Arabidopsis thaliana: one gene and its partners. The protein of the gene in region 2 interacts with the protein of the main gene of each other region in a pairwise test. Each region holds a gene or a part of one and is shown on either strand. Other genes may lie near its edges.

Region 1 (7,442 bases), 1.7 Mb from region 2:
CTCTCAAAAGTCCTTCTTCCTCAAGCTTCTCGAGTAAGGGTTCAGATCACAATGACGACAAACGACGATGATCACGCGGCTGAGAGAAACACGATGTCCATGAACTATGAATTGGCGGCTACGTTGAGTGATGAAGAACAACGCGCAAGAAAAGGAAAAGCCAAGATTGTCTGTAAAGAAGAAGACCACGTCTTTATCAAAAAGAAAGAAAAATACGAGGAAGAGAGCGAGAAGAGGGAATTCTTCAGTCATGTCCCCAGAAAGATAAGGCCTGCGCTTAGATACCCACAACCTAACTTTGAAAACCCTAATGGGGCTTCTTCTTCTTTAAACTTACCCTTCGAAGAAGACTACTACATGGCTGAGTACTACAAGAAGACGGAGACCATAAACCCACCTAACCCTTATCACCAATGGTCTCCTTCTTCGTTCTTAACGGAGTACACACACCCTAGGATGCTTGAGGTGTTACATCGCTGTGGATTCAACAGACCAGTGGTAACTTGTTATTCAAGGACGGCCAGGGAGATGCGGTGGTGGCTTCGCCAGGTGATGAAAGACATGAGAGCAGAAGACCTAACACTTATCTTAGAGAAGACTCTGTCCACAACTGATGTGATCACAACGACACATGGCCGTTTCTCAATGCATTTCAACAGATTAATCAGTAACGACTTCTTGAAGCCTGAGGAGCGGAGTATCCTAGAAGAAGATACCTACAATGATGAGACGATGGGAGTTGGAGCCATTCTCGTGGATCAAAGGTCTCAAAAGTGGAGTGTGATTTTGAAGAGATGGGGCCAGAATTACTTTCTGAGTTGTGGCTGGAACGACGTTGTTAAGGCTAATAAATTGAAAGCTGGCGACGACATCTGTCTTTGGGCGTTTAGGTGCGATGGAGTCCTCTGTTTTGCCATGAGGCAGTATAGCTCCTATTTTCGTCATTGACAAGTTTCTTGTGTCTGTTGAGATTCACATTGGTCTAATCTTTCAGGCCATTCTTGAGGTTTTTGGTCTAGTTAACAAAATTAGGGTTTTTATTTTTTACTAGGATTTCTTTCATCTCTCTTTTAACACTTTGTCGGGTTTTTGAGTTTCTAGGATTGTTTAAAATGCAGGAGGCTTAGCACAGTCTCTGTTTCATGCTTAATACAATACACTCTCTAAATAATGCTTTCAAGAAAAGAAAAAGAAAAGATTATACCTTTAGAGTTATTATAAGAGGAAAACGAAGTAAATCAGAACGGATTAACGAACTATATAAAACAACAAAGTCACTCTTTTCAGTTTTCATTCACAACAAAATCTTAATGGGGCTTCCACTTCTTCTTCATCGCCTTTTTCTTTAACCTTCTTCAAAACTACATTGCCGAGTCCAAGAAGACTCCATCTTTGTGTCTAACGGGAGACCACGAGCCCCAAGAGGCGTGTGGTGTCACCGAGAGGGGTAAATCAGAAAGACATCAGTCTTTGGTCTTTCAGGTGGCGTGGAATCCTCTGTTTTGCTCTTGTTCCTCCTCTTACATTGAGACAGAGTAGCTCTTCCAATGCTCGCCGTCTCTGCTAAGCTTCTTGTCTCTGTGGAGATTGATCTTCATTTGTACAGCCGGCTAAGTTGGGGCAATTCTAGAGGGTTTTGGTCTTACTACAATGCTAGAGGGTTTGGATGTCTGTTATTAGTAAGCTTGTTGTTTCTGATTCTATACTATGATCCGTTGAATAACTCTAACATTGAGTATGTTTATGTGAACATTGCTAGCTTCTGGGATTATTTGGTAGCACAAAAGCCATTTTCAGTCATTCAAGGCTTTAGTTGAAATGCACAAGCATACTTTTATTAACTTCTTTACAACAATAATGTTTAACTGCCTTATCCCATCCAATCCTTAAACTCGACCTGAATATGTATGTGACATACAGTATGTCTCTCACGAAACGCAGAAACTTGCTATCAACTCTACAAATGGCTTTAAGTAACACAACTATAATGTAGCATTACTAAGCGTCGCTTTCAGTTTCAGGTGCCCTCTGATAATCCAACATGCTCGGATCTGCGTGGTACTGCCCATACAAGGCATAAACGGCAGTTGCAAGCACACTGACAACAACAAATCTTATCCATGCTTCATAATGCAACTGCACAGTAGCGGAAAAATCAAAGGTAGATCATATGGTATGTGAAATTAGTATAAAGTTAGTTCTTAGCGTGTACCTGAGCAAATAAGAAGATGTTGAAGAAAATGCAAACGGATGGCACAATGGGTACACCAGGACAGCTAAACCCAGAACCTAGAGGCAGAGCATAAGCCTGGAAGCGAAAAGCTGAGGGGTTTAACATGAAGCATAGCTAGCAAGGCATTTGCCTGATTTGTGGAGACAACCATGAGGGTATATTTCCTAATTGATGTTAACAAACTTCTCCTCTAAACCAAGAATGCAAAGACTTCAATAGTCACAGACTTTCATAGTATCACTGTAGAGTTCTAAGTGCCAGAACATGCTAGTGGTGGTCTCTATTTTATGCTGTATCAGTAAAAGACTTAGTATCTAGCATTTTAACAGGGGTGAAACTTGGTTTTTTTATTTTATTTTTTTTGGCGCTATGAAATTAAGAAGAGTGTGCTATGGAATTAAGGCTTATACTTAAGGCTACTTACTTGGCGATAATGAAGAACTGCTGAAGCAACAACTGCCACACCAACTGAGAGGAGAATAAATATAACTGAAGCACTGAAACGGTAAAATACGCCAGCACCAAAACCACTGCATGCAATTATAACAAGGCAAATGACGCCTTCCTGCCAACTTGATGTCCATCTATTGGACGACTCTCTATCTTTTTTATCATTCAGTCTCAATGCCACAACACAAGCCGCAACAACTGAATACCCAGTCTGAAGAAATGGAACACCGAAAATAATGTTAAACTGGAAAGTATAAGTATCAATAAGAAAAGCAAAGAGATATTTAAAATTAAGACCTTGACGTACCAATGTACCAACAGACAGAATATGGGAAAGACTATGTACATTAAATATGCCAGCTAAAACGCCAGCTACAATGCCGCACCAGATTTGAGAATGAAGAGGTGTATGAAGAGTTGGGTGTATTCTGGAAAAGATTGAAGGCAATAGACCATCCCTTCCAAGTCCCAGATATAACCTGGACTGTTTATCCGAAATATCATATGATTACTCAAGAGTGTTACCTTGGTTTGCATAATATACAAGTACATAATAAAAGAAATTACAAAAGAAATACATATATATATATTATCACCTGAACATAAAGACCAACAAGCAGAGTAGTTGTGAGTCCAGCAACAGCACCAATACTGATTAAGATTGAGACGAACTTCATACCCTTTGATGAAAAGGCTTCAGCTAAAGGAGCATCTTCGCTGAGGAGGCTAAAAGGGACCATCCCGGTGAGCACCAAACATACGCCAATATACAGCGAGATACAAACCAGAAGGCTCCCCATAATTCCGATTGGCAAATCGCGCTGAACAAGAATTAAACAGACATAAGAGACTTTGTAGATAGTATGTACATTCAACATATATATAGGCAGACCTGAGGGTTCTTCGATTCTTCAGCAGAATTAGCAACTGCATCAAATCCAACATATGAAAAGAAGACAACAGTAGCTCCAGTGAGAACTGCTTTAAAACCATTAGGCGCAAAAGGAGACCAATTTGCTACATCAATTTCAAAAGCACCGGCACAAATCACAACGAGAACGATCACGACCTACAGAAGAAACAATATAGTGAAGAAGAGTTTTTTTTGGTAAAGATAAGAAGAGAAGGTTAAAAGGAAAGAAGCTTACCTTAGTAGCAGTCATAACGGAGTTGACAGCGGAAGATTCTCGCACACCTTGGCATAGAACAAGGGTCAAGAGAGCAAGTAAAATGGGAGCCAAAATATTCAAAGAGAGAAGCCCTCCCAAGAGCTCTTTGCCGCTTCCCATCCAGAGAGGAATAGAGCCCTTGAGGGCTGGAAAAAGCTCAAGAAGAGCAACAGCATAGCTGGCCAAGCTACGGGAGATACTAGCGGCGCCAATATGATAGTCAAGCATGAGTTGAACGAAAACAAGAAAAGCTGTGATCTCATTGAAAGCTGAGTAAGAGTACATGTAAGCTCCACCAACAACAGCAGGGAAACGAGATGAAAGTTCAGCATAACAGAGAGCGTTCAACACACACGATGCTCCAGCTAGCAAGAAGCTGATTGTGACTCCTAGGCACGCAACGGCAGCAATAATCACTAAGCGATTCTGAACGAATCAAGGAGGTGGTGAGAAAAAGTAATTCATTCAACTGACCAGGTCCAGCATCGCGAGCGACGGTTCCGGTGACGACGAAGACACCGGCGCCGATGGAAGCGCCGACGCCCAACAGTATGAGGTCGAAAAGGCCGAGGCGACGAACCAGAGAGTCGCCAGAGGTGGAGCGAACGGCAGTCTGCGAGGACGGAGGGGGCAGTGATTTAGATCGGAGAGCTGAAGCACGGAAATGAGAGAACCATGTGGCGGAGGAGAGGCGTTGGTTGCTGAAACCTTCGTGGCCTCCCATGGAAACTTCAATTTGAGAGTTGAAGATTGATCGAGACGATGACTGAAATCACCCCCGGGATAATCAGAATCCAAATCAATAAATATTGGGCCAACCATTGGGCCCAACAGAGACCACTTAAACCCAATAACCCTCTAATGAACTGAAAGCTCGCGACGACATCTGTCTTTGGGCCTTTAGGTGCGATGGAGTCCTCTGTTTTGCCATGAGACAGTATAGCTCCTATTTTCGTTGTTGACAAGTTTCTTGTGTCTGTTGAGATTCATATTGGTCTAATCTTTCAGGCCATTGTTGAGGTTTTTGGTCTAGTTAACAATATTAGGGTTTTTTTTTACTAGGATTTCTTTCATCCCTCTTTAGCACTTTGTTGGGTTTTTGAGTTTCTAGGATTGTTTTAAATGCAGGAGGCTTAGGATTAGGTTTTTAACATGATTCTGGTTCTACTTTAGTTTCTGCATCAGTTAATACCTTTGACTTCTTGTAATATATCTCAAAATCTCAACCAGAGGATGGAGTTTTGTACAAATCTTGCTATTCGTCCAAAATGGCCATACATATCAAAATCAGGGTTGTTTTCTACTCATGCTGGAAGTTAGTTTGGTTTCTGAGTTGTTCTTGAATCTCACATAATCATGATAAGTTGGCTGCTGTGTCGTGTTGTAACTTTGTTAGCAAGCAAGCTGCCGCAGATTCCCTAGCTTCCTCAGCATCAGACTTTTCCTCTCCATGTATTGTACATGCGACATGATTCCCCGTGATTCTTACTTCAGCTTCATATCCACCTTTTTGAACAAAGCATCAACATCAACATGCAAATCTGAAGGGAGTAATGGAGCTGAACTACGAGTTTGGCAAATGATCTCAAAACTTTACCATCTGATGGAGCCACACGATAGTTTGGTAGTACCCAGTTATTCATGAGACAGATATCATCGAGTCTCTGCAATAAATAGGGGCAATGAATCTTAATTCTTTGAACAAGAAATGATTAAAGTAACCATAAACTAACCTGACACAGACTTTTAGTAGAAGGAAGAGTTTCACTGAGCTTCAGCCTCTTGTTGCTTTGGCATGCTGACTTGTCAAGAGATTCTTGAAGGTTACGCCTCGGGTATGTCTCGTTACAGCACTCGAGTACTGTTTCTAATTGCAGCTCCCAATCACCTATAACACCCACGAGATCACTAAGATTCATGTAAAAACAAAGCTGTGCAGAAAGGAAAAGTATATGTATATATACATACCTTTGATGTTCTGGATGCATTTATCACATTTAGCAATCTCGTCTTCTATGTTCCTCTGTTGACGAGTCTGCAGCCAGAGAAAAAGAGAGCAGCTCTTAATCATAAAATAAGGATATATATGCTATTGCCAATCAGTTTTTTTGCTGTGTTGTGTATCTTTGATCAAATTCTACAGTTATTACCAGTTTATCTCGTTTGCAAAGAAGAACTTTCAATGCAGTTTCGGATAGTGATGTTGCTTTAGAAAGAAGAGACGTCTGTAGCTCCTCAAGATTTGGATTAGAGTTATGAGCAGAAGCAGGAGTTGAATTAAGCTTATGAATGCTATTAAGTCTGTCAGGAACAGCTTTCTTCCTCTGGAGACCTCTTTCTTTAAGTTCCTTTGGGTCAGACGCAACCTGCATTTACAAAAGGGTGATAAAGGATACTTGAAGATTGAATTGAGAATATATAATTGTTAGTGTAGATTTCAGATTTCACCTCGAAACCACCTTTCTCTCCATTCGAATAGTTATCCTTACAAGGGCTCATTTCATTACCTACATTCTTAGCCTTCAACGCAACTACTGTCTCCGAGTGAACATTAGGTTCCTTCGCACCACTCATACTTCCTTTTAAGTACCGATTTTGCAACCTCGTCGTAGCTTTTCCTCTAGCTCCAGGATGGCTCAGTAGAGCGGCAACTTTTTTGGCCTGCAATTTAAATTCTTAAGTTAATTTGTAATACCATTTTCCTTAACACAACCATACAATACAAGTATCATTATGAGAGCATACTTTAATTTCATATCTCCTTTTTAAAGCAGCTTTTTCTCGTCTTTCAAAAATGTCGGAAACTTCCGACTCCTTGGTTGCATCTACTTTGTTGCTTTCGATATCATCACATACAGCTTCTGGTTCTTTCTCTATCACAAATTCGGTATCTCCTCGCCTGAAAAAGCACAATAAACTTATATTGCTACCCCTAAACTAGAAATGATACCAAACAAACTCAAAGTAATGTTAAGGAATAACAATTTAGGAAGAAAAAAAGGATGCAATTAAACCTGGAAAACCAATCTTCTATGAGAGTGGCATATGGAAGAACATGAAAGTATTCCACTATAGAATTCATAGTCCAGTCGGAAAAGCTCTTCTCAAATAAAGGACCCTGCATACTATTTTCATAGAGAAAAGCAAAAGAAGATGGTTAGGAATATCATGTCAATACCTCCTTGTACTTACAAAAAGTAAAGAATGATCCAATCATGCAACTAATGTAAAGTAAAGTGAGTTTAAGGATAACAGCTGAATAACCATCTTGCCAAAATTTGGGAGTCATTTGAGCTAGAGCATACCAAAGTCAACTTACCAACTAAGCACTTCTTCGACAGGATTTTCTCCAGAAAATTTGTCTTGTGAAGTGCACTTCATTATGTAAAAGCGGACTGCTGTCTTCTCTTCACTCAAGGAGCATACCAAATGCCTCTCCAAGATCACAATGTCCTTGTGATTAACACCTGCAAAAGATTCAAAACAGTTAGTAATAACTTACAGAAAGAATGCTACTACCAAATGATCAGTCTTTGAAGATAACCTGTGGCCTCCTTAACAACAGCAAATGCAACTTTTTGAAAGACGCC
Region 2 (8,128 bases):
TTATTCTGACGATGATTTACTAGGAAGTTGACTCCAAAACTCTGATTCAATTTTCAGTTTGTTTAAATTTAAAAGTTAATCAGTTTGAAACAACTATCGTCGTCATCCGAATGAATATATATAGGCCAGTGAGTACAACAAAACAAAAAGCTTTCCTCAAGTAAATAACCAAATATAGTTTTTGCCTTTTTGTCCAGTGAAACAAGGACTTCACAATCCTTGTTCAGCTTTACTCCGTTCTTCAGCCATTCTCTTCTTGATCTCATGTGCTGCATTGAAAATCCCCATTGTTGGTTGGTTACACACAAAGCACTTCTTGTTCTTCGTGTGATGCTGCATCATTACATTAAACAAAACTCGCTAGTTTCACACATTTCTTCACAACTAAAAAAAAAACAGACTCGTAATTGTGATGATCATACCTTTAAAGCACAATGCTCACAGAAGTAATGCTTGCATTTGGTGACAACTGGATCAACAAAAGGCTCCCTGCAAATGAAGCAAGCAAAGGGCAATGCATTTTCGTCTTCGTCGCTATCCTTGTCAGCCTCATCATCTTCATCCTCAACTCCCATAGCTTTATTTCTCTTCCTAACTTTCTCTGCTTCTTCCCACTCTTTCTCTATCTGCCATCCTGGTTTGTAATCCCCACGGTCATGCAAGAACTTACACGAATCTCCATATCCACAGTATCCGGTTTCTTTGTAATCCTTGCAAATGTCTGGCTGGTAATCGAATCTAGCCGACACTCTTATGTGAGCAGAAGCTCTTAATGGCCCGTGTGAGCCTCCAGCTTTCTCGCTCGAGATTGTTTGTTCTCTTCTAAACCCAGCTTTGTGATCTGTATATCCATGAATTCCTTTGTACAGCTTCTCATCAGAAGCCTTTTTCTTATTCCCTTTCAATGCTTCGTCTGCTTTTTTAAGAACTCTCTCACGGATAGCTCGTGCGTCTTGATTGAAGTCGGTCTCAGTTTCAAGGGTTGCTGTTGCTCCACTGTCGTTCTGAACCTGGATTTCCTTGGATGAATCGTAGTGAAAGACGGACCTCTCAGGAGCTCCACTCGTTGTAGTAGAACTCTTAGATGGTCCAGAAGAAAAGTATAACTTGCTATCGGGTTTTGCAACTTTCTTTAGATTTTGTAGAATAGAGCTTTCGCTTTTCGAATCTCCGTCTTCTTCATCAGCGTCAATGGTTCTTTTTCTTATGTTTTTACTTTTCGTTGGCTTCTTGAAGAAAGTGCAAACTGAAACAGAAGAATGATTTGATTAGTGTAAATGAAAATTTCTAGCTAACAACGAAGAACAAGAAAAAATCTCAATGAGACGACAACTAGAATTGAGATAGAAGGAAGTATATGTAACCTTGTTGAGACTGAGTTTCTTGGGCAGCAGGTTGAGGTAGAGGTTCTTCTTGCTGAGAAGGTTTAGGCTCACCAGAATCTGACATAGTTAGATATAAGACTATGTAACAAACACAAATCACCCACTTGTAATTTGCTGCTTAGTGTTTCCCTGCAAAATTCAAGATTAGTATTAAGTCAATTTCCTGAAAACTTGTAAATTTGTTTGCACTGAGTCAAACAACAATTTTATCAAAATTTCTCCAGATTCAGTTACAATAATAGACAATGCAACATAAAAATGATCACCTGAATTCTTCCTAATTCATCTACGCGAGCTCACGAATAAACCCTAGCTAACTATCTATATCGGTGGCAATTTCATTCACAGTAGATAAGGAAGCAGAAATAGAAGCTCCAGACAGATCAATCCGAAACACAGTTCGACAACTCGATGTGTCAACGGAAGCTACAAAATTTGGAATCTAAAAACCCTTTGAATTGATTGAAATTGGAGACAAAAGCTCGAACAACACTAAAGACTAAACAAGAACGAAAAGTAGATCAAAAGTATGGAGATTAAACACAAGGAAGAATATGTTACCTTAAAAAAAAATCTAAAAATCGACGCCGGTGAGCTACACCGTCAAAAAGAACGACGACGCCGTCCGTATTTTCCGACAGAAAATAAATCAGTGTGAAGAGAAAAGAAATAAGGAACATATGGTGGGGCGGTTACTTCATTTTGGGTCATGAATCTAAATGGGCTCAATATTCATAATGGGCCCGGTACTTAAAATTTGGCAACTTGCTTATTCTCGCCGTCTGACTTTGACCAAGTCATTCATCTGAATGAAATTGTTTTATGAAATGATTTTCAATTGAACAGACTTTATAATATTTAATTGCATAATATTCCTCTTTCCCTCCCTTTTTGTCGTATAATAAAATTCTCATATACTACTTTTCCAGGAAACAATATACAGAGAGAGATACAAGTAACCGCCATATGAGTCTCTCTCTCTTTCCAGCGACGACGGGACCAGTTGCTTGAATTGAAGAAAACGCCGTTCACCGACTTCCGTTTATTAGCCGAATCTTACTATCTCGCCGTTACCTACTTCGTTTCAGGTTAGTTTGATGATAGAATTTTGATTCCGATTTCCGTTTTTGTTCTTTTTCGTCTGAATTTATTTTGCTGTTTCTCAGAACCGAAACGCTTAGATATATGTCTTTCGTTTATGGTCAATGGTTTTTTGAAATTTGGATTTCTTATCTTTGATGAACAGTGTTTTTAAGTTGTTCGTGTGGTTTCCATTTATTGAGCAGGAATGGGTAGGAATTACAGGATTTGGTATAATCTAATGTTAGGTGGAAATTGACTGATTCTAGGTTCTCTAATTAACCTTTTCAAGAAAGAAATATTTAAAAACACATACACACAACACAATTGTATTTGTAGTTAGGTGTCTACTTGCTTATTTTTAATTGGTATTGGGGATTATCATTGTACGTAATCATGTAGAAGAATTCGTATGTCTTAAGTTTTGGTTCTTATTATAATGTTAGGACTCGTCACCCTGTAAGCGAAAGATCAGTTGAAATATACAAGGGTTTGGCTGATGGCATTTAGCCATGATAATCGTGTAAGGTTGGTAGTTACAGAAAATCTTGAAAACAGTTCATAGTTGAATGATTTTTTCTACTATCTCATTTTCTTATGATTTTGTTTAGGTTCAAAGATGAAGGCAAACCATTATCCTCTGAATATGGTTATGGAAGAAAAGCTAGACCTTCTTTAGATAGAGTTTTCAAGAATGTAAAATGGGGATTCAAGAAGCCATTGAGTTTCCCTTCACATAAGGATCCTGACCACAAGGAAACATCTAGTGTTACTCGGAAGAACATCATAAACCCGCAGGATTCGTTTCTCCAGAACTGGAACAAAATATTTTTATTTGCTTGTGTGGTTGCTTTGGCGATTGATCCATTGTTTTTCTACATTCCCATTGTCGATAGCGCAAGGCACTGTCTTACTTTGGACTCAAAGTTGGAGATAGCTGCGAGTTTGCTTCGTACGCTCATCGATGCCTTTTACATTATTCACATTGTGTTTCAGTTCAGGACAGCTTACATCGCTCCTTCTTCGCGGGTTTTTGGAAGAGGTGAACTGGTAGATGATGCTAAGGCAATAGCCTTAAAGTATCTCTCTTCTTACTTCATCATTGATCTACTCTCTATCCTTCCTCTCCCACAGGTAAATGACTAGTTTGATTACTTGTTCAAAATGTCAATGATCATTTCTTTTTGAATCCTCTGGCTTCTTAACTTTTGCAGATAGTAGTTTTAGCCGTTATTCCAAGCGTCAACCAGCCAGTCTCTTTGCTAACAAAAGACTACCTTAAATTTTCCATAATTGCTCAATATGTTCCTCGGATTCTCCGTATGTATCCGCTTTACACTGAAGTGACAAGAACATCTGGCATTGTTACTGAAACAGCATGGGCTGGAGCTGCTTGGAACCTCTCTCTCTATATGTTAGCCAGTCATGTGAGTTTCGGATCTTTTGATGACTGAATCTTTATACATGTAAATGCATATTAAAGGTTATATGTTAAACTTACTTATTCAGGTGTTTGGAGCTTTATGGTACTTAATCTCAGTAGAACGAGAAGACAGATGCTGGCAAGAGGCATGCGAGAAGACAAAAGGTTGTAATATGAAATTCCTCTACTGTGAAAACGATCGTAACGTTAGCAACAATTTCCTGACCACTTCTTGCCCATTTCTCGACCCTGGTGATATAACAAACTCAACCATCTTCAACTTTGGCATCTTCACTGATGCTCTTAAGAGTGGCGTTGTTGAATCACATGATTTCTGGAAGAAATTCTTCTACTGCTTCTGGTGGGGTCTTCGAAATCTGAGGTTTGTAAGACACACATAAAACTGTTGACAATAACTAACTAGCTATATTTGGAGATTTTAAGCCGTGAAATGACCTGTTTATATTTGCATCTTAAGCATATATATCTGTCACAATTTAAACAAGTCATCATTCTCACAAGTTGCTTTTGTTGTTGCAGTGCATTGGGACAGAATCTCCAAACTAGCAAATTCGTTGGTGAAATCATATTTGCTATATCAATCTGCATATCTGGACTAGTCTTATTTGCTCTACTTATCGGCAATATGCAGGTATTAGCCTCAAATAATCGCTTCTCATTTTCTGGACTTGTTCCATAATGCTACATATAAGTTACTCAGGACACGCATGTAATTTTTGTTTGCTGTTGCAGAAATATTTGGAGTCAACAACAGTTCGAGAAGAGGAAATGAGGGTGAGAAAGAGAGATGCAGAGCAGTGGATGTCTCATAGAATGTTACCTGAAGACCTGAGGAAACGTATCAGAAGATATGAACAATATAGATGGCAAGAGACAAGAGGAGTTGAAGAAGAAACCCTTCTTCGTAACCTCCCTAAAGACCTCAGAAGAGATATTAAACGCCATCTTTGCCTCGATCTCCTCAAGAAAGTGAGTAACAAGCTTTCTCTCTTTTTCTTCCATAAACTGAACTAAAGAACCCTCAGAATCCAAATTATATGATGTTTATGGTAGGTACCTTTGTTTGAGATAATGGATGAGCAGTTACTTGACGCGGTTTGCGATAGGCTAAGACCTGTGCTCTACACCGAGAACAGTTACGTGATCCGTGAAGGAGATCCTGTTGGGGAAATGTTGTTTGTTATGAGAGGAAGACTGGTAAGTGCCACCACTAATGGAGGAAGAAGTGGGTTCTTCAATGCCGTGAACCTAAAGGCAAGTGATTTCTGCGGAGAAGATCTTCTCCCGTGGGCATTAGATCCTCAATCTTCTTCTCACTTTCCCATCTCGACAAGAACAGTTCAAGCTCTCACTGAAGTCGAAGCCTTTGCTCTCACAGCTGAGGATCTCAAGTCTGTCGCTTCACAATTCAGACGCCTCCATAGCAAGCAACTCCAACATACTTTTCGGTTCGGTCACTCCCATCAGCTTCTTTGGCTCTGTTTTCGGTTTTGGATCTTCTTAACCGGATCTTGATTATATATACAGGTTTTACTCAGTGCAATGGAGAACATGGAGCGTGTCTTTTATACAAGCAGCGTGGAGGAGATACTGTCGGAGGAAGTTAGCCAAGTCACTACGCGATGAAGAAGATCGTCTCCGAGAAGCGCTCGCTAGTCAAGATAAAGAACACAATGCTGCAACCGTGTCGTCGTCCTTGAGCCTTGGAGGCGCTCTTTACGCGTCGCGTTTCGCATCAAACGCGCTTCACAATCTGAGGCACAATATCTCCAACCTTCCTCCTCGCTACACTCTTCCTTTGCTACCTCAAAAACCCACCGAGCCTGACTTCACCGCCAATCATACAACTGACCCTTAGATCTCTCTTGCATGTGTATAGTGTGTGGAATAAAGTGTAAAAACAATGGTTTGAACTTTGAACCAATAAAATGTAAAAAATTGTTTATCAACTAACAGAAATTGAAATAATGGCTGGCTCTTATGCGCCGCTTAACTTTGGCTACTTCAGTTCAGCATCACACATGGAGGTATAGTTAGAGACTCGATCTGATGATCAATGCATTGAGGAAAGTGGGAAAAGCATATTTAGCTTTCAAGCTAATGCATAGCAAAACTGGGGTTGGTTATGAGAGAATGGCTAGTGTTAGAAGGTCTGTCAGGTTTAGGACTTTACTTAAACTTGTTTTGACTCCCGAGTTTAAAGAAACTTTTTTGCGTTTATGTCTTTTCTTGAAGAAGGAAACAATCGAAAGTTTCCTTTTTATTTTGGAAGAACCTAATAATGAAAACCTGAGGGAGAATGCTAATCTCCAACAACATCTCACTCATTCTCTCTTCTTCCTTGAGAAATCAAAGCAAACCAACCAATGTTTCCTTTTGGTTTTGTTCGGTATAATATCAACGTCTCTTTCGTATGTCGGTTTTCAGTGTTTCCTTTTTTTAAGTCCCGCTCCTGTATAAAGCAGACCAACATATTGAGCTTGCGTTTATATATACTACAAGTAACCCTAGAGTACTTTCATCTCTTTTTTATCAACAACCACCTGAGAGAATGCTAATCCCCAAATTCATCTCTTCTTCCGTAAGATTGATCGGAGTGGAAGATAATGTTAAACCTTATCACTCTTCATGATCGTAAGATTAACCTGTTTTCGGAAAAATCTATTAATCCATTTCATTGTTCATTTTTATGGTCAACCAAATTATAATCTAGTTTCATGCTAAAATTTCGTATAGAGATTATCATTTCTAAAGAATGAAAGTTACATAATATTCAACATATGAATAATATATTTACAAAAATTTACGAGTGAAACGATAAATACATTACTTCGGAAAGGAAAAAAGAATTACAGAATGTATGGACAAATTGGCCATTTCGTTTGGTTACTTGTGGAATAGGATAACGGGAGGAGGCAGCTTTACGTGGTCCATCTAGCACCGTCTGATTGCAGTCAGGTTAAGAAAGTGTGCGGCTCCGATTCGTTGGAATACCCATTTTACGTGGGACCCATTTAAGACAAATGGTCCCGCATCTTTGTTTCTTCTTTCCACTTGTGACCCCTGCCATTGCCAACATTACTGGACGACAAAATCGCCTGCTCTCATTTTCTTCATACATAAAAAAAACCTTTATTTATTTTATTATGATAAAATTTGATTTTGCTTACAAAAACGTGTATGTTAAGAGTCCTTAATGTTCATTGTGATTAAAAAAAATTAATGATCAAAGAACGTGTGATTGTTTGAACTAATTATAGCTTGCTTTTATATGGAAACATACAAAAATATCTGGACCAACAAGCTCGTGCTTCAAACAAAATACACATTTTTGAGCCATATAATACCTAATAACGTGATTTCTTAGACTCTTTTAACTGGGCAGTTAAGTTACCATTTCTGCATTTACTTTTTTAAAAAACTGGTTCTGACGCAGAGAGCATGAATTTGTGATAGAAGTAGAAAGGGGCACAAATAGAATAATCCAAAAAGCAGCGAACAACAAGCCTATAAATAAGACAATCACTTAGGCCCATTAACGACTTTAGAGGCCCTAAAAGGTAAGAAATCAAGGTGAAACAAGGAAGGAAATTTCGATCAAGACAAAAATACGAAAACACCCATGTAAAGAGAAGATAATTACAGGAAACTGCCATGAACGTCCATAAAAAGCCATTCTAGCCATCTGACTATTGAATCTCCGCCCTTCCTTCCTTATCACTCTCTCAAACCTTTTTTTTAACACACTCTCTGTGTCTCTCTCTCACACCGTTTCTCCAGTTTCAGCTTTTCTTCGAACCACTAAACAAACTCTCTTATAAACTCTTTCTCATCCCTTATTCTCTTTTTAGAATTTTCATATATTTTTCTTCTGTTAGCTCCCGCTATTCCTCTCACTCGGTAATTATTGAAAAAAATTTGAATATCTGTTTTCCAAGTTCGTGTTATATATATGTTTCAGTAAACCATTTTGTTTTGGATAAGATTTTGAACGTTTATATCGTATACTTTAGTTTTAGTTTTATGGGTTCTTTATGAGGTTTGAGTCCTACAAAATTATACATTTGAATGCATATTTGACAATGAGATTATTGCAATTAACCAAGTTGAATTTGTTTTCAGATATTATTTGTTTATTTCAATAAAAGAAAAGAAAAAAAGCTCTAGAAGAAATGGCTCCCAAGAACAACCGTGGAAAGACAAAAGGAGATAAGAAGAA
Region 3 (8,310 bases), about 21 Mb from region 2:
TAGCCTCAAAGCTGGTGGGGTTACCCCAAAGTTTGTCATAATTGATGATGGATGGCAATCTGTTGGCATGGATGAGACCAGTGTAGAATTCAACGCTGATAATGCTGCCAAGTAAGTAATTAAGCTCTCTTAATTCTGATTTAAGTTCTTTCTTTAGTCTTAATAAACCACTCTTTATCTTTTGTGCTTACCTTCAGTTTTGCAAACCGGTTAACTCACATCAAGGAGAATCATAAGTTTCAAAAGGATGGCAAAGAAGGCCACCGGGTGGATGACCCTTCATTGAGTCTTGGACATGTTATCACAGACATTAAGAGTAATAATTCGCTCAAGTATGTTTATGTTTGGCATGCGATAACAGGATATTGGGGAGGAGTCAAACCAGGTGTTTCTGGTATGGAACACTACGAATCCAAGGTTGCGTATCCAGTTTCTTCACCAGGAGTTATGTCCAGTGAGAATTGTGGATGTTTAGAAAGCATAACTAAGAATGGACTTGGTTTGGTGAATCCTGAGAAAGTCTTTAGCTTCTATAATGATCTTCACTCATACCTTGCATCCGTTGGGGTCGATGGTGTCAAAGTAGACGTCCAAAACATTCTTGAAACTCTTGGAGCTGGACATGGTGGTCGTGTCAAACTTGCAAAGAAGTATCACCAGGCTTTGGAAGCTTCTATTTCAAGAAACTTCCCTGACAATGGTATTATCTCTTGCATGAGTCATAACACAGATGGTCTCTACAGGTTAGCTTCTGGACCTACAACGTTGTTCTCATTGATATTTATCCATAATTATTACTATCCCTTCTAATTTCTTCTTGTAATGATACTTTAGCGCAAAAAAGACTGCTGTTATAAGAGCATCAGACGATTTCTGGCCTAGAGACCCCGCTTCACACACGATCCACATTGCTTCTGTTGCATATAACACACTTTTCCTTGGAGAGTTTATGCAGCCGGACTGGGACATGTTTCATGTACGTTGAATTGCTTTAACAAACTTTTCTGAACTTGTGAATGAATCTATCTGTTTCTCATTGCAGAGTTTGCATCCGATGGCTGAATATCATGCTGCAGCTCGCGCGGTTGGAGGATGTGCCATATATGTCAGGTAATCACAAGATTCAATACCATTTGACAAACAAATTATCATAGTAAAATGAGCTGCAAGTAAGTAACTCTAGATCCATTCAAACTTGTTAAACAGCGACAAACCGGGACAACATGACTTCAACCTTTTAAGAAAGCTAGTACTTCGAGACGGTTCCATACTCAGAGCAAAGCTTCCCGGAAGACCAACCAGTGATTGCTTCTTCAGTGATCCAGTCAGAGACAATAAAAGGTATCTCGTTTTCCTTTACTTGGAAGAGAAGAAAGCTTAAATCTTAACTAACTGTTGTATTATACTTTGCAAGTCTTCTGAAAATATGGAACCTGAACGAATTCACTGGCGTTATTGGAGTTTTCAACTGCCAAGGCGCTGGATGGTGTAAGAACGAGAAGAGATACCTAATCCATGACCAAGAACCTGGGACCATTTCTGGTTGTGTCCGAACCAATGATGTTCATTATCTTCATAAAGTAGCAGCCTTTGAATGGACAGGAGATTCCATTGTCTATTCCCATCTCAGAGGTAGTACACAAACTCAAACATCAGTCTAAATTACTCTGATTATACTAAAACCTTCACTTTTTTTTTCCTTTTCTATCAGGAGAGTTAGTGTATCTCCCAAAAGATACATCTTTACCAGTGACATTGATGCCACGTGAATACGAAGTTTTCACGGTGGTTCCGGTGAAGGAATTTTCCGATGGAAGTAAATTTGCACCGGTGGGGCTTATGGAGATGTTTAATTCTGGAGGAGCCATTGTGAGTTTAAGATACGATGACGAGGGGACTAAATTTGTCGTTAGGATGAAACTTCGAGGCAGTGGTTTGGTTGGTGTTTACTCGTCCGTTCGACGACCACGAAGTGTTACGGTGGATTCAGACGACGTGGAGTACCGGTATGAACCGGAATCCGGTTTAGTTACGTTTACTTTAGGAGTTCCGGAGAAAGAATTGTATCTGTGGGACGTGGTCATCCAATAATTATTGATCTGTATAATTGTATCAGTTCTGTATTGATTTGTTGGTTAATCTGTATGGGTTATCGACCAGACCAATACAAATCAAACAGATTGGTCCGTGTTCGTTTTGATATAATAATACAAAAAAAAAATGTTTGTTGTATGGCTTAGCATGCATTAGTGTAATCATTTTCTTCCTTCTTATTTATCATCAACGGTGTAAAATCTGTAAAATGTTATGGTGCAAATTTAGTTGTCCACAAGAGAACAACCAGACGACTATGTAATCATATCTGTAGATAGTAGTAGACTAGTAGATCCGTGCATTTTTAGCAATACTTCCACTAATAAAACTCGCAAATTAAAGCATTCTTAATTACTCTGAAAATGACTTCTACACACACCCTAAATGTTTTTATAGAAAATTTGGTTTTGGTCTAATTATTTTGATTTGGTTCGGTCTAGTAATTGATCAGTTTATGATATTTTTTGAAAGGATTTTTTTTTTTTTTTGGTCGTCTTTTGAAAGGAAAATTTTAAGAAATTATAAACGATTTATTTAAGTCCAGAAACGAAAGGGATCGAATCAATGATAAAAAAATTGCCTTAACAAAAAAGTTTTAAAAAAATTGGGATTACTTGATGCGGTCGATAGTTAATTTATTCTGGACTATGGTAACACGTCATGTTTAGGACCACTATGTTTTAACTAAAAACTGATATTAAAATAAAATTTATCGACCGCAATTGCTCTTTTTTTTCTCCTATATTTAAATCTTCACAGTAATTCACAGTTCACATATATTTCAATATTCATTAGTCATAACATTAGAAAGTAACAATATTGAGTCCAAATATTTTTTAAAAATCGGAAATTAGATAAAGTTCCAATAGTCTTTTTTCTTTTCTAAGTCTAAATAAATTCAATTAACTAGTTTCATAAATTATTTGAAAGAAGAAAATAAAAAATCGAAACATGTCTTTAAAAATGAGTAGAAGAAGGAAAGTTCCTCTCGATCACGCACTTGTTTACTGACATCTCCCAAATTCTTTAGTATCATCTCTCAATAAAAAAGAACAGACCATTGGGATCACAAATCTCCGAAGAAGAAGAAGAAGATATCAAAGTGTTTATTTTTGTGGGATTTCTGCTGCAACTTGTTCAAGTCTTTCTTCTCTGACCATTGGTTGACTTCTTCTTAGGTACTAAAACTTTCGAATCTCTCTTCACCGTTTCGTTGATCCCTCCGATCATCTTTAGGTCTTCTATTTGATTCTTGGTAGTTTATATCTGGTTTTAGGGTTTTGATATTGGATGGAATTGGGTTTGTGTTTTTCAAATATCAAGTCATTTGATTGGGCTCTGATTTCATGGAAAGATTAAGCTTAGATTAACACATTTTCAGTTGAATCGTGCAAGCTTGTTCTGGATTCTTGTTTTCACATTTGGTTGTGGTTTATATACTGTATAACGGAATGCTCTTTGATACTGATGATTGATCTCCTAAGCATTTCCAATCTCCAGGTTTCCAGAAGAAGACGATATTGTAGTGTATCCTCGTTTTCATGTTTTCTTAGCACAAGTCTATGGGTTGTTGTAAAGTGCCAGCTCTTATTCAGGCCCAGGTAGAAGTAAGTTTGTTCATGATCGATCATGTATTATCTTTGATTATATGGCTCTTCATTGTCAGCTTAATGGAAAGATTACAACTTTGAACAGATGGGGTTGGTTAATGATGTTGAGCACAAAAGCCTTTTTAGACGAGATACTGATTCCCCAGAAAGAAAAGCAGCTTCCTTGATGGAACAAGGATCACTTTCTGCAAGTTTTCGAGAATGCTCAACTAAAACACCTAATAACAGTGTGCTCCAGAGCTTCAAGATTGTGATTTTATCGAATAAACTTAATCTTTTGTTGCCTTTTGGTCCTCTGGCAATACTACTCCATTACTTGACAGATAATAAGGTGAGCAGTTGTACTTTTTGGGTACTATTCATAGCAGTTTCATTTCTTCCTGTTATTTCCCAAGAAATGATTCTTCTTGTGGCTCAGGGATGGATCTTCTTATTGAGCTTAGTAGGCATCACACCATTAGCTGAACGTCTCGGATATGCCACCGAGTAAGCTGTTGCTCGCACTTGTAACTCTATAAGTTACAATGTTATCATTCTATCAGCAAGGCTTATCTATAAGTAACCGTTTATTTTGTGACAGGCAATTAGCTTGTTACACTGGTTCAACTGGTATGACTTGGTTTCTTCTGATCGCCATTCTATTGCGGGTTTACTTTGTTTTCTCCTGATATCTTTTTGACGCTGTTTACAAATTTAACAGTTGGAGGTCTCCTAAACGCTACATTTGGAAACGTGACAGAGCTGATCATATCGATTTTCGCTCTTAAAAGTGGAATGATACGTGTTGTACAGCTGACATTGCTCGGCTCGATACTTTCTAACATGTTACTTGTACTTGGCTGCGCCTTCTTTTGTGGCGGGCTTGTATTTTCCCAGAAAGAGCAAGTCTTTGACAAAGTAGGAATATCATCACTTGTTCTCTTCTTTTTTTCAATGTAATTGTCCCTGTTGTTCTGTAATTTATACCATGTTTCTGAGCTTATTTATTCTGCAATGCAGGGTAATGCTGTTGTGAATTCGGGATTGCTTTTGATGGCTGTCATGGGACTACTCTTCCCCGCAGTTCTTCATTACACGCACAGTGAGGTTCATGCTGGGTCATCAGAGCTTGCTCTCTCAAGATTCAGCAGTTGCATAATGCTCGTTGCCTATGCTGCTTACCTCTTTTTCCAGTTAAAGAGCCAGCCGAGCTCTTATACCCCTCTCACCGAGGTTTGTTGTCTTTGACCTTCGGTTGACTTTCGTTTTTTCTTACAAAAAGCCTGGAAACGATAGACTAAGATAATTATAAATAGAACAATTGTTTCAACATTTGTTTTTTTTCATTTTCGAGTTTTCACCAGTATATCCATGACCACAGAATATTCGTGCCAGTTTTACGGGGTCTGTCGAATTTCTGTTTTATAAAGCCGAGTGGTTGCTATCTTTCTCTTCTAATTGGACTGATCTCAGCTGTTTGGTAAACATTGTTAATTTGTAGGAAACTAACCAGAACGAAGAAACTTCAGACGATGATGAAGATCCTGAGATCTCCAAGTGGGAAGCTATTATCTGGCTTTCAATCTTGACGGCTTGGGTCTCTCTTCTTTCCGGCTATCTTGTTGATGCCATAGAGGTGAATAGCAACCTGCTTTTTTTTCTATCTTAGTATTTCGAACAAAGATCTTACGTGTATTAACTTGGCCTGTTTATTCATTTCCATATGATCAGGACAACATTGTAATGCTAGTTTATGAGTTTGACTTATGGTTTTGTATTATTGTTTTTCAATCTGTAATAGGGTGCTTCAGTCTCATGGAAGATACCAATCTCTTTTATCAGTGTCATCTTACTTCCTATAGTTGGGAATGCGGCCGAGCATGCAGGTGCCATCATGTTTGCCATGAAAGACAAGCTGGTACACAGACAAGTCTCTTGCGTTTTGATGTCTTTGATTCTCTTCTTTAGGTTCTAACTTTATTATTCTCCTCTACAGGATCTGTCTTTGGGAGTGGCTATTGGATCCTCCATTCAGATTTCTATGTTCGCGGTATGTATATGAAATGTGAACTTGGGTCTAGTACTGAACATTCTCTAAAAGATTTTGTCTGATAGTTTGATTGGATTTAGGTTCCTTTTTGCGTGGTTATCGGATGGATGATGGGTGCCCAAATGGACCTAAATTTCCAGCTATTTGAGACGGCTACTCTGTTCATAACTGTTATTGTTGTAGCTTTCTTTCTCCAGGTAAATCTTGAAGCTAATTACGAAACCAATCTCGAGTATATCTCTCTCTTCAAAGTTGTTAAATGTCTTTGTGTGTGGTGTTTTTATGCAGGAAGGAACATCGAATTACTTCAAAGGATTGATGCTCATTCTTTGCTATTTGATAGTCGCCGCTAGTTTCTTTGTACACGAAGATCCTCATCAAGGTTAGTGTTGAATTTGCTATATATATTCCTTTCTCTGTGTCAACTCTCTGTTGAAACCTGTTTTTGTCTTCTTATTTTTTGACAGATGATATATAAATCAACCCAAAAGAACATAAAAAGTTTGTATCCTAAAACTAAAGCCTGAAGATCTCAGGAACACATCATCTTACATGTACATTTGAGATTCTAGAGTTTGTTTCATAACATTTGAAAGTAGCTCCATTTTACGGTTTTACCTTCCCTTAGGGGCTTATAGGGTTACAAATTTGTAAAATTACCTTGATAACTATGATGGGAAGATTCAAGATTGGAGTGTCTCTTCTTTTCTAAGTATGCTTGTTTATCCTCTAATATATAGAGGATTTTCTTTGAACAGTTTATGGACGGTTGTATTCATACATTTAATGGTAAAAAACAAGATGACACTAGTTATAGTTAAGTCTTACTCAAAACAATATTGTGAGCCATATTTGGCATAAGATTGCAGAATTTCTTCTGCAAATATTTATCATAGTTCGTAAGAAGATGAGTTCCAGATGGATTTGTTGAAAATGTGGATCAACAAAAGCAGCATTGAGTCGACATTCGGCAACCTTAAGCTGCAAAACAAGTTTGAGCTTCAAGGTATGGAATCGTGCTTCAGTGTCATACCTTTAAGGAACAAAGAAACTAAAGAAATGGAAACCTTTTAATACTTCAATACTGGAGTTCCATAAACAATTCAAAGACCATCTGTTGTAACTTCTCCCCCAAGCAACGAGTGAGTGGATGCTTATTGTGCTTGTAATCATGTGTCACATGCCATACACTCTTAAGGAATAGTTAAGGTTAACAAGGACTAGACTTTCTAAGAACTCGATATACAGATCAATGAGATCACAAATCTCATGTATATGGAGCTATATTTGATGTTCAGCAACTTCTTCAAGTCTATAAGGTGGTGTAAGGTGCCAGCTTTTATGCAGGCGAAGGTAGAAGTAAGTTAGTCCACGTTCACGTCTTGTCTCAGTTATTTGGCTCCTCATTATCAGCTTAAGAACTAAATTATTATCGTAAACAGATGGGGCTTGTTAATGAAGTTGAGCTTAAAAGCCTTTTGGAACAAGAAACAGATTCCCCACAAACAAATGCAGCTTCTTTGATGGAGCAAGGATCACTTCGAGAACGCAGAGCTAAAGCGCCTAGGAACAGTGTGGTCCAGAGCTTCAAGATCGTCATTTTATCGAATAAACTAAATCTTTTGTTGCCTTTCGGTCCTCTAGCAATACTAGTCCACTACTTGACAGATAATAAGGTGAGAGCAGTTGTAGTCTCAGGTACTTATCATAATTAGTTTTGTTTCTTCTTGTTTAGTCTCAAGAAACGATTCTTGTTGTGGCTCAGGGGTGGTTCTTCTTACTAAGCTTAGTAGGTATCACACCATTAGCTGAACGTCTCGGATATGCCACAGAGTAAGTTGTTCCTCACACTTGTGACTCTTTAATTACCATATCATCAAACACTAACCGTTTAGTTTTGTAACAGGCAATTGTCTTGCTACACAGGCGCAACTGGTATGACTTGGTTTCTTCCGTTACTCTCTTTTTTTTTCTCCTAATATATTTGTGACGCGCTAGACAATTTTGACAGTTGGAGGTCTCCTCAATGCTACATTTGGAAACGTGATTGAGCTGATCATATCGATTATCGCTCTTAAAAATGGAATGATACGCGTTGTACAGTTGACGCTGCTTGGCTCGATTCTTTCTAACATTTTGCTTGTACTTGGCTGCGCTTTTTTCTGTGGCGGCCTTGTGTTTCCCGGGAAAGATCAAGTCTTTGACAAAGTTTGCATATCATTCTTTCTTTTCTTTTTTCTGTTTAGTTCAATTCTTCTTGTTTCTTATCTTATTTCTTCTACCATACAGAGGAATGCAGTTGTGAGTTCGGGCATGCTTTTAATGGCAGTCATGGGACTACTCTTCCCCACATTTCTTCATTACACGCACAGCGAGGTTCATGCTGGATCATCAGAGCTTGCTCTGTCGAGATTTATCAGTTGTATAATGCTCGTTGCCTATGCAGCTTATCTCTTTTTCCAGTTAAAGAGCCAGCCAAGTTTTTATACCGAGGTTCCTTGTCTTTTAAGTTAACTACATATATAAAATTGTTTCTTACAAGTTACAACCACTTTCATCATCTAAATGATTCTTGCC

Evidence for each region. The genes of interacting proteins can lie anywhere in the genome.
Region 1: the proteins of CNGC10 (region 2) and CAT9 interact in a protein complementation assay, tested with the Arabidopsis thaliana proteins (one large-scale study listed by BioGRID).
Region 3: the proteins of CNGC10 (region 2) and CAX5 interact in a protein complementation assay, tested with the Arabidopsis thaliana proteins (one large-scale study listed by BioGRID).

Annotation. Positions count from the first base shown.
Region 1 is NC_003070.9:1,799,367-1,806,808, forward strand, and holds CAT9 (cationic amino acid transporter 9), read right to left. Parts: upstream 4,635-7,442; 5' UTR 4,577-4,634; coding exon 4,327-4,576; exon of another isoform or gene 4,242-4,326; coding exon 3,832-4,241; intron 3,753-3,831; coding exon 3,576-3,752; intron 3,505-3,575; coding exon 3,280-3,504; intron 3,168-3,279; coding exon 2,991-3,167; intron 2,895-2,990; coding exon 2,658-2,894; coding exon of another isoform or gene 2,631-2,657; exon of another isoform or gene 2,309-2,630; coding exon 2,213-2,308; coding exon of another isoform or gene 2,195-2,212; exon of another isoform or gene 2,137-2,194; coding exon 1,999-2,136; 3' UTR 1,744-1,998; downstream 1-1,743. Other genes in the region: AT1G05930 (B3 domain protein (DUF313)), read left to right, coding at 52-923, 1,483-1,567; AT1G05950 (uncharacterized protein), read right to left, coding at 5,207-5,358, 5,450-5,516, 5,586-5,740, 5,821-5,887, 6,003-6,218, 6,301-6,513, 6,598-6,751, 6,867-6,977 and 2 more. UniProt on the Arabidopsis thaliana protein: Permease involved in the transport of the cationic amino acids.
Region 2 is NC_003070.9:130,053-138,180, reverse strand, and holds CNGC10 (cyclic nucleotide gated channel 10), read left to right. Parts: upstream 1-2,256; 5' UTR 2,257-2,473; intron 2,474-2,858; exon of another isoform or gene 2,859-2,911; 5' UTR 2,912-2,964; coding exon 2,965-2,993; exon of another isoform or gene 2,994-3,062; coding exon of another isoform or gene 3,063-3,076; coding exon 3,077-3,599; intron 3,600-3,679; coding exon 3,680-3,892; intron 3,893-3,974; coding exon 3,975-4,270; intron 4,271-4,428; coding exon 4,429-4,540; intron 4,541-4,641; coding exon 4,642-4,878; intron 4,879-4,962; coding exon 4,963-5,357; intron 5,358-5,436; coding exon 5,437-5,767; 3' UTR 5,768-5,911; downstream 5,912-8,128. Other genes in the region: AT1G01350 (Zinc finger (CCCH-type/C3HC4-type RING finger) family protein), read right to left, coding at 211-333, 423-1,246, 1,365-1,449; AT1G01335 (auxin-responsive endogenous peptide protein), read right to left, coding at 7,323-7,445; AT1G01320 (Tetratricopeptide repeat (TPR)-like superfamily protein), read left to right, coding at 8,082-8,128. UniProt on the Arabidopsis thaliana protein: Probable cyclic nucleotide-gated ion channel.
Region 3 is NC_003070.9:20,829,288-20,837,597, reverse strand, and holds CAX5 (cation exchanger 5), read left to right. Parts: upstream 1-2,969; 5' UTR 2,970-3,272; intron 3,273-3,578; exon of another isoform or gene 3,579-3,594; 5' UTR 3,595-3,656; coding exon 3,657-3,701; intron 3,702-3,789; coding exon 3,790-4,035; intron 4,036-4,122; coding exon 4,123-4,190; intron 4,191-4,284; coding exon 4,285-4,313; intron 4,314-4,404; coding exon 4,405-4,601; intron 4,602-4,703; coding exon 4,704-4,916; intron 4,917-5,184; coding exon 5,185-5,319; intron 5,320-5,484; coding exon 5,485-5,601; intron 5,602-5,679; coding exon 5,680-5,733; intron 5,734-5,813; coding exon 5,814-5,930; intron 5,931-6,021; coding exon 6,022-6,115; intron 6,116-6,200; coding exon 6,201-6,211; 3' UTR 6,212-6,567; downstream 6,568-8,310. Other genes in the region: SIP1 (seed imbibition 1), read left to right, coding at 4-111, 198-743, 835-976, 1,043-1,110, 1,207-1,341, 1,415-1,632, 1,712-2,091; CAX6 (vacuolar cation/proton exchanger), read left to right, coding at 7,003-7,092, 7,176-7,409, 7,499-7,566, 7,640-7,668, 7,745-7,941, 8,023-8,226. UniProt on the Arabidopsis thaliana protein: Vacuolar cation/proton exchanger (CAX). Translocates Ca(2+) and other metal ions into vacuoles using the proton gradient formed by H(+)-ATPase and H(+)-pyrophosphatase.